Drosophila melanogaster: one gene and its partner. The protein of the gene in region 1 interacts with the protein of each later gene in a biochemical or structural test. Each region holds a gene or a part of one and is shown in the gene's direction. Other genes may lie near its edges. The genes, in order: tra and tra2.

The links.
Region 2: the proteins of tra (region 1) and tra2 interact in far-western blotting, tested with the Drosophila melanogaster proteins (one study listed by BioGRID).

The regions. Positions count from the first base shown.
Region 1 is NT_037436.4:16,589,559-16,592,913, reverse strand, and holds tra (transformer), read left to right. Parts: upstream 1-1,863; 5' UTR 1,864-1,870; coding exon 1,871-1,910; intron 1,911-1,983; coding exon of another isoform or gene 1,984-2,054; exon of another isoform or gene 2,055-2,158; coding exon 2,159-2,562; intron 2,563-2,619; coding exon 2,620-2,769; 3' UTR 2,770-2,855; downstream 2,856-3,355. Other genes in the region: spd-2 (spindle defective 2), read left to right, coding at 1-1,510; l(3)73Ah (lethal (3) 73Ah), read right to left, coding at 3,140-3,265. UniProt on the Drosophila melanogaster protein: Member of the regulatory pathway controlling female somatic sexual differentiation, regulated by Sxl. Activates dsx female-specific splicing by promoting the formation of a splicing enhancer complex which consists of tra, tra2 and sr proteins.
Region 2 is NT_033778.4:14,601,504-14,606,630, reverse strand, and holds tra2 (transformer 2), read left to right. Parts: upstream 1-2,293; 5' UTR 2,294-2,434; intron 2,435-2,492; exon of another isoform or gene 2,493-2,502; 5' UTR 2,503-2,531; coding exon 2,532-2,647; intron 2,648-2,705; exon of another isoform or gene 2,706-2,895; coding exon of another isoform or gene 2,896-2,897; exon of another isoform or gene 2,898-3,129; coding exon 3,130-3,283; intron 3,284-3,341; coding exon 3,342-3,470; intron 3,471-3,506; exon of another isoform or gene 3,507-3,645; intron 3,646-3,725; coding exon of another isoform or gene 3,726-3,737; exon of another isoform or gene 3,738-3,754; coding exon 3,755-4,127; intron 4,128-4,188; coding exon 4,189-4,211; 3' UTR 4,212-4,627; downstream 4,628-5,127. Other genes in the region: CG33468 (uncharacterized protein), read left to right, coding at 1-257; CG33469 (uncharacterized protein), read left to right, coding at 456-938; CG12868 (uncharacterized protein), read left to right, coding at 1,431-1,464, 1,526-1,995; Blos1 (biogenesis of lysosome-related organelles complex 1, subunit 1), read right to left, coding at 4,787-5,127. UniProt on the Drosophila melanogaster protein: Required for female sex determination in somatic cells and for spermatogenesis in male germ cells. Positive regulator of female-specific splicing and/or polyadenylation of doublesex (dsx) pre-mRNA.

The DNA.
Region 1 (3,355 bases):
CCGCAAAGCAAACTCCTCGCCCGCAGGTAGTGAGGCCAGTTCCACCAGCGGATTCACAGCGAGTGGAAGACGTGGGTTGGGAACCAGCTCTGTTGCAGTGCCACGTAGTATTTCGCGCTGCTCGAACTCTAGTGAGTTCAGTCATCGCGATGGAAAACTGCTCCCCCTAAAGGTGACCCACACGACCCTCTGTTGGGGAAGCACAAAGCTGCGGACAGATGTGCGTAAGTCCATGCAGGTTAAGAACACAGCGGACAAACGGCTGGTCATTCGGCTTGGCATCCAGGGACCCGGATTCCAGCTGGTGGGCACCGACAGCAGCACGATCACACTCCAAGCCATGGAATGCCGCTCGGTAGTGATCAACTTTTGCCCCACTGTCTGTGGAGCGGCCATCGGAGCCTTGTCTTTCTATGCACCACCAGGAGCGCATAACAGCAACCAGCCGGGCCTAGAGATTCCGTTGTACGGCTACGGGGGCAGTGCGTCCATCACCATAAACGGTCTGCTAAAGGGACCGGTGGGCGCCAGTTTCCTTACCATCGGCGATGTATGCGAGCTGTCCGCTGGTCCGCTTTCGGCGAATCTCAAGTTTCACAACAAGGGCCCTCTCACCGCTTTCGTTGGTATATCAGTGGACTCCACCGTGCTCATGAAACTGCGCCTCAGCGAGGCCTTCGAGGTACGTCCGAGCCGCTTGATATTGCCGCCAAATAGCGAGCGCTGCGTGCAGATACTTTTCCGACCGAATCGTGAGGACTTGAAGAACATACTTAAGAAGACCGCACAGGTGTTGACCCTGGCCAATATGCGGATTTTCTGCGGAGACGAGCCCAACAGACAGCGTATGCGTAGCTTGGTCCAAAGGATGAGCAGCCGACAGCGAGAGAAACTCACATCGCCGATGCTGGACAGCATTTGGGGCGAATTTCCGGACGAGCAGCCAGTGCGCAACATCGGTCAGCTGAACGAACCGCCAGAGTTTATTCTGGACTTGGTCACAGTAGTGCGGATTATTGATGTTGCGCTTACCCTCAATCGGGACTTTGATGAATCGTCTGAGAGTTCCCTGATGTTCCTGCCGGAGGCCGACGAAACCGTGCTATTCCGCACCATATGTGTGGCCAATTCGCCGACGCCAACGCAGAGCCATCTATTGGAGCCAGTGGATGAGCTATTGGAGGCGGACACCACAACGTTGACGCCCGTCGAGCAAAACTGGTGTGTGCAGCCAGGTTTGCTGGAATTCGGAGTGGGCTGTTCGCCACTGGCCACTTTGTCCGTAACCAACAGCTTCTGCTCCAGGCAGCTCATCGAGGTCACATGCAATGTGCCCGATTTGGTGCGAATCAGTCCCAGTGAGTGCTACGTATCCCCGGATGGCGGCCACGCGGAGATCGATGTGCGCCTGCTCCGCTCACCCAGGCAGGATTTGCTCGAAAGGGAGCCGCTCATTGTGGTCTCCATGGAAAACGAGCGCATCAGTGTCCCGATTAGTTTTAAATTTTAAAATTTGTTTTATTTGTGCCTGCTAATTCTGCTTTCCCTATGTTTGTGTAGTTAGTTTAAACAAAAATTGTATTGTGTACTTGTGAAATGAAACCGTGTTTGCAGAGTATTTGTAAGGAAAACGCATAACCCTAAAGTTAAAATACTCGCTTGTTTCCTAAAAGTTGAATTTAGCTTAAATAAAAACTAATAAAGTATATGAGTTAATTTTAAATTTTGATATGTTGCTCTCGAATATTCAAAAAGTAACGTATATGTAGCGATAGTTCGTCGAAAAGTGAGTTGGCGGGCACATTGCAAGGTGCAAGCCGAGTACGGTCACACTGAGGAAAGTGCATCATTTAATTTCCAGCATTTTCCGATGAAAATGGATGCCGACAGCAGTGGAACCCAGCATCGAGGTACCCACTATATAGTATAACCGATCTGATCAGATTCTGATCCAGTGCCATCTTTTTGTTGTTTTTTTTCTAGTGTCATATTGTGTGAAATGTGAAATGGATGAGAATGAACGCTGGACGACCAGACAGAGAAAGAGAAGCTAGGACAATAGGACTCTCAACTGCGCATTACGTGGATTCCGTCTCCGACGATGCGCCAAACACTATGCGTTAGATGCATTGACTAACCGCACACTCTTTTCACATAGATTCCCGTGGCTCAAGGTCTCGATCCCGGCGAGAAAGAGAATACCATGGGCGATCAAGCGAGAGGGACAGCAGAAAGAAGGAGCACAAGATTCCGTACTTTGCAGACGAGGTTCGAGAACAGGATCGGTTGAGAAGATTGCGCCAAAGAGCGCACCAATCCACCAGACGCACTCGCTCCAGATCCAGATCACAGTCGTCCATCAGAGAGAGCAGGCACAGAAGGCATCGCCAGCGCTCTAGGAGCCGCAATCGCAACCGAAGTCGCAGCAGTGAACGAAAACGCCGTCAACATAGCCGAAGTCGCAGCAGTGAACGAAGACGCCGTCAACGGAGCCCGCATCGGTATAATCCTCCGCCAAAGATCATCAACTACTATGTGCAAGTGCCACCACAGGATTTCTACGTTAGTAGTTATTTGTATTGAAACAAATAACAAATCTAACTTAAATCGATTTTGCAGGGGATGTCTGGTATGCAGCAAAGTTTTGGATACCAAAGGCTACCACGTCCTCCGCCGTTTCCACCGGCCCCCTACAGATACCGCCAGCGACCGCCGTTCATTGGAGTTCCGCGATTTGGCTACAGAAACGCGGGGCGTCCCCCATATTGAACATACTCCATTCGACATAATTACAAATTTATTTACATTCGTGTGTTTTGTACATTAAAATAATAAATACATATATATTTCAAACTAAAAATGGAGAACATAAAATATTGCAAACGGAGAACGTTGATTAAATCATGAGCAAATGCAGCAAAGAAGGCGGCAAAAAAAGGGTCACACGAGTTAGGAAGTGGAAGTTACTTAATTCTAGGAGGGATAACCATATATTTACGACTTTATACATGCACATTTACACATACACTCATGGTTTCGAGGGGACTAACACTAGCGACTCTCCTAATTACGATATTTACGCATTGTCAATAAATTATAAAAATAGATCATTTGTTGTGGCATTATACTAAAACAGTGGTTAGAGCTCGACCCGCGGACGAAACTGCAGCCGAAGCGGCGGATCCCGGAAGCGCCAGCGCGTCACGTAGACGAACTTCAGCGTGTGATCCTTGCCGAGCAGCTCCTCGTTGCACAGTATGTCGATCTGAAAGATAAGATACGTAGTTATCATATAAGTATGTGCCATGTATACAAGTAACTAAGCCAGTCTGAGCTTTCACTGAGAGCAGTTACT
Region 2 (5,127 bases), on another chromosome or scaffold:
ATATGTACGAGCTGTTCAGAAAACCGGTATATACAGGGGCTGGAATGCGATCCCGTGTTAAGAACCACTTTAAAGGGCTTAAGTGGCACGTAAAAGGAAACATTTTGGAAGCCCCGCTAGGTAGCTCCCTTAATGATGAGAAAGTGGTTAACACAATTGCAGATTTATATCAGAACGAAAGGAGAAGATACTTCGATTACCTTATGTCTAGGAGTAATCTGTATAAATCGTGTACATATCGAAACATAAATGCATAAAATATTTTCATTTATGTATAAGACTTTCTAGAATAAAGCTTTAAAATAATAAATGCCAATAAATGCTAACCAGTATTCTTTTAACGCTTGTTGAGGTAGGAAGGCAAAATTGCCGCACACTTATCAATGGGCAAAGCCTATGAATCACCTTAAGTTTTCATCTGATTATATTTCTTAATAGCAGGGAATATTAGCAACATGGACGATAAATTGGAAAAGTACTGGAGACGTCTATTTTATATGAAGTCAGTTGCAGAACCTACGTCGTTGGATGCTGATACGATAGAATATTTCGGAATATTCAGTATTGACGAACCAAATGTCGCTGCCCAAAAACGGTGGTACATTTATTATGGCCTTAGATTAGAAAGGTTAAAGGTTCTGGAAAGGATTCGAAAGAAATATGGCAATAGGAATGTCAGAGAAATATTTCAGATCGCCACATTCAGCGGAGTGGGATTTCATAAAGTCGTCAGAGAATATTTCTCCAACTTAAAATGGTTCACAAGCAGAAATCAATTGGAAGCTCCACTAAATAGTTATTATAATGATGAAAGACTAGTGAAAACTGTTTCGGACTTGCATAACAAGGAGCAAAAAAGAATCTTTGACTATATAATGATACAACACGCCTGGTTTGAGCGGTATAATGATCAAAAACCACCTCCTGCTAAACATTAAACTAACTAAAAACATCGACTTACAGTCGACATCTGTTGACTAAAAGCGGCATGTGTATTTGTTGATAGGGGGTATTATTATACATTTTACAACCTATTGGTCAAGTTAAATGATTTATAAAAATATGTCGAATAAAATATATACACACACAAGTAGCTTGCGGTTATAATATAGTAGTACATAATAGTATATACCTTGGAGTCTAAAGACACAGTCATCCGATCATCCTAATCAACAAACATAAACACCCTAGTTGTCTGCATTAATAGGTATTAAAAAGAAACAAGCGCATTAAAAGCTCACTGTTTTTTGATAGGCCACAGGGTTGCTTCAAAAAGCTCTTTTGTTGTGAAATTGGAAATCGTAAACAAAACGAAACAAACTTTATACAAATCAGTTGAAATCGTATTTGTTGGGTATTTAATAAGAGTGCGTAGGAAGTTAACACGCATTCAGAAGTCAGAGAAGCAAGAGTCACCTCGTTATTAAAATATGACAACGAATTCAGTAACTGATAAGAACACGGGTAATTAAAACGGCAAATTATTTATTTGGAACATCAACGATGATTAACAACCGATTCGCAGAAGGAGATTACAACCTGGATGAGGAAATCGACAGCCATTTGAGAAAATTGTTCTGTCTAAAACCAAAAGCTGAAACACCCAAACTCAATCCCTACATAGTAGAATTCTTTGGAGTTCTTAGCTTGACAGATCTCCGTGCCCCACAAAGAAAACTATGGGTCATATATCACGCCAAGCAGCCTGATCTGGACAAGACCGTTGATGAGATCCACGAGAAGTATGGCAAGAAGAATATGTTTGATCTGTACCGCACACCAGTTTTCAGTGGAGTTGCTCTGCGGGACAGTGTGAGAAAGCACTTCTCGAACCTAAAGTGGTTTACGACGGGAAATCTCCTGGAAGCCCCACCTAAAAGCCACTTCAACGACGAGCGAGTGGTGAAAACCATCACGGATCTGCATCATCTGGAACACCAGAGACTATATAATTATGTGATGGTGAAGAATATGTGGTCTATGCGGTATCGCTAAACTAACCTGTGATTTAGGATTAAATTTGTATATGACTATCTAAAAGCAAGAATAATAAATTGTACTATTACAAAATCCATATAACATAATGGTTTGCTAACCAATCAAATAGTATTGTTTTCTTGTAGTACAAATTTTGTTTATTTTCCTATATTTCGTTGAATAAAGTACATAATAATTATGCTGATTTAATTTGTTAAATATATTCGATAACATTAAATAAATTCCGCTTGTGTTTTTTTTTTCTAAATGGATGACAACGCCGCATAAGGGTTAAAGTGCCAATCGATAACGCACGTCCTCACCTATCGCCACCCCTGTTGAAGCGTGCGTCTTTCTAAACGCAGACAGAATAAATAAAACCTGCCAAAGGCTATCAATTAATTGGTAAACACTGATTGGGTGTGCAATATAGCAGGGAATCAAACCCTCAAAAATGGTAAGAACGGCAATCCAAATAGTGTGCACCCATTCATCTTCTTTTTTCGCCACCATTGCTCCGATAAGCGAAGTTTCGATAGGTAAGCAAAAAGCCAATGGATCGGGAGCCACTCAGTAGCGGGCGTCTCCATTGCAGCGCCAGATATAAACACAAGCGATCGGCGTCATCATCGTCAGCGGGGACAACTTCATCCGGACACAAGGACCGCAGGTAAATGTGTACACACATATGTGAGACGACCCTAAACGATACCTCTTTTGACATGAAGCATCGAGTAGTTTTGACTGGCAGTTTGGAAAAAAGGTTCAACTGTCATAGGGCCCTTTCATTTGGATTTGCCCCCTCAGCCGATTCAGCTGGTGCTCTTGCCAAGAAAGTTAAAACCAAAAATCATTCAAGCCGATTTCATTTCATTGGAAGAAACCAACCAACCAACCAACCAACCAACGAACATCACTATGTAAGAACCCACCGAAGCAATCATTTTCATTCTACGTCCAACTACCAAAGAATTTGGCCGAAAGAGGTCGAACCCAACCGTAGCATTTGTCAAGTCACACAAATTTTCCAACTGTCAGTTACCAAGGCGTGCAAGAACCACCCGAAATCCACACGAAATACAAAACTTTTCAAGACCCTCAAGAACGAACCGCAAGATAATCTTATTTCATTCCATTCCACATCGAATCAAGGTCTGACTACGATTACTGTGGCAGTCGCCGGCACCAGCGGTCCTCCTCTCGCCGACGCTCCCGTTCGCGTTCCTCCTCGGAGTCGCCGCCACCGGAGCCGCGTCATCGCTCCGGACGTTCATCACGCGATCGCGAACGAATGCACAAGTCTCGCGTAAGCCATTCTGCCGATTAATGCCTCCTTTCAATCCTAAAGATCTTCGGCGTTTCAGGAACATCCACAAGCAAGCCGCTGCATAGGAGTCTTTGGACTGAACACAAATACCTCGCAGCACAAGGTACGCGAGCTGTTCAACAAGTACGGACCTATCGAACGCATCCAGATGGTGATTGACGCACAAGTAAGTCGGTTTTCGATAAGCATTGCTAAGATATTTCCTGCCTGAATCCTTTTGTGTAGACAAATCCGCTGAAGCCCTGCAGTTTTGTCTTAATTTCTGGCTAGATAAAATTTGATAGCGATTGTGAGTTTTTGTGTATTCCAAACTAAAAGCTAAAGGCTTGCTGTCACAGTGGCATATTGTTCGAAGGAAATATTGATCTCCCGAAATCAATATGTGTTCAGTTGTTAGGAAAGTTCAAGTTCACAAACGTAGATTAACCCTTAATAACTTCTGACATACAGACACAGCGTTCCCGGGGCTTTTGTTTCATTTACTTTGAGAAACTCAGCGATGCCCGCGCGGCTAAGGACAGCTGCTCCGGAATAGAAGTGGATGGTCGCCGTATTCGCGTCGATTTCTCTATAACCCAACGGGCTCATACCCCAACTCCGGGTGTGTATTTGGGTCGTCAGCCGCGTGGAAAAGCTCCACGCTCATTTTCACCGCGTAGAGGACGCCGTGTGTATCACGATCGCTCCGCTTCGCCCTATGACAACTATCGTGATCGCTATGATTACCGCAACGATCGCTACGACCGTAATCTCCGCAGGAGCCCTAGTCGCAACCGTTACACTCGCAACAGGAGCTACAGCCGTTCACGCTCTCCGCAACTACGTAAAGTTTATTCCTCCGTCTATTTAATCAAACGTTTATCCTGTATATTTTCCACGATTAGGTCGAACTTCATCGCGCTATTAAAGCGCCTGGGGAGGAGGCTACTTCATTAACTCGTGCTCCTAAGTTCGCCCAACTGGATTGTGTCAAACGGGCTGTAAAGGAGCATACGACTGAAATATTGTTTTGGTGAATCCTATCCCATCTAATGCATTTGGTTGGCGAACAGTTCGCAACTAGATTAATTAATTATTCACCCAAAACACCCTTTAATCATAATAATTCGGTTACTATTATTAATGCTGTATAAAAACATAAATTGTAAATATCAAATCAATTACCAACATTACATACAGAGGTCCGCATGGATTGTGATATGTATTTTAAAGGAACTGCAGCAAACTGATAATGATAACATTAAACTAATTTTAATTATAAATGCAATTGTGCAGCAGGTACAAAATAAAGATTAATTTGTACAGAAGCGACGATTAACTTGTGAATGGGCGTTTTATTGAATTGGTCGTACATATCATTTACTTAAGCTTCTATAAATTTCAGTTTAATTAGGATTAACTAAGTTTGTATGGGAAGCAGAACCGGTCATACACTTACTCAATGGATCTCCACAGGATACAAATGCATTCTTTGGAAAACGCTCAAGTAGCACTGGGATTTGCACTTGCCGACGCTGAAGTAGAGGCCTCCAGGGATGTACCTGCTCCGCTCGATGTCTGTGTCGCTCGAGAGGCTTTGTAGGCCAGCTCTAGGGTCTGGTTAATCGTATGCATGTCCCCCTCTATGCTGCGTGCCCAGTTCTCCACGTCGCCGAGATCCTTTAGGGCAGTGCTGAATTGGTCGATGAGCTGCAGCCATTGGTGGGTCTGCTTGGCGAAATTGGTGGCGCCCAAGTGCAGTTGCTTTGCCTCTGCGTCCAGCCGCTTCTGGTTCAGGTAGGCCTGAGCCACGCCCACATTTAGGGTGTCCACCAGAGACTGAG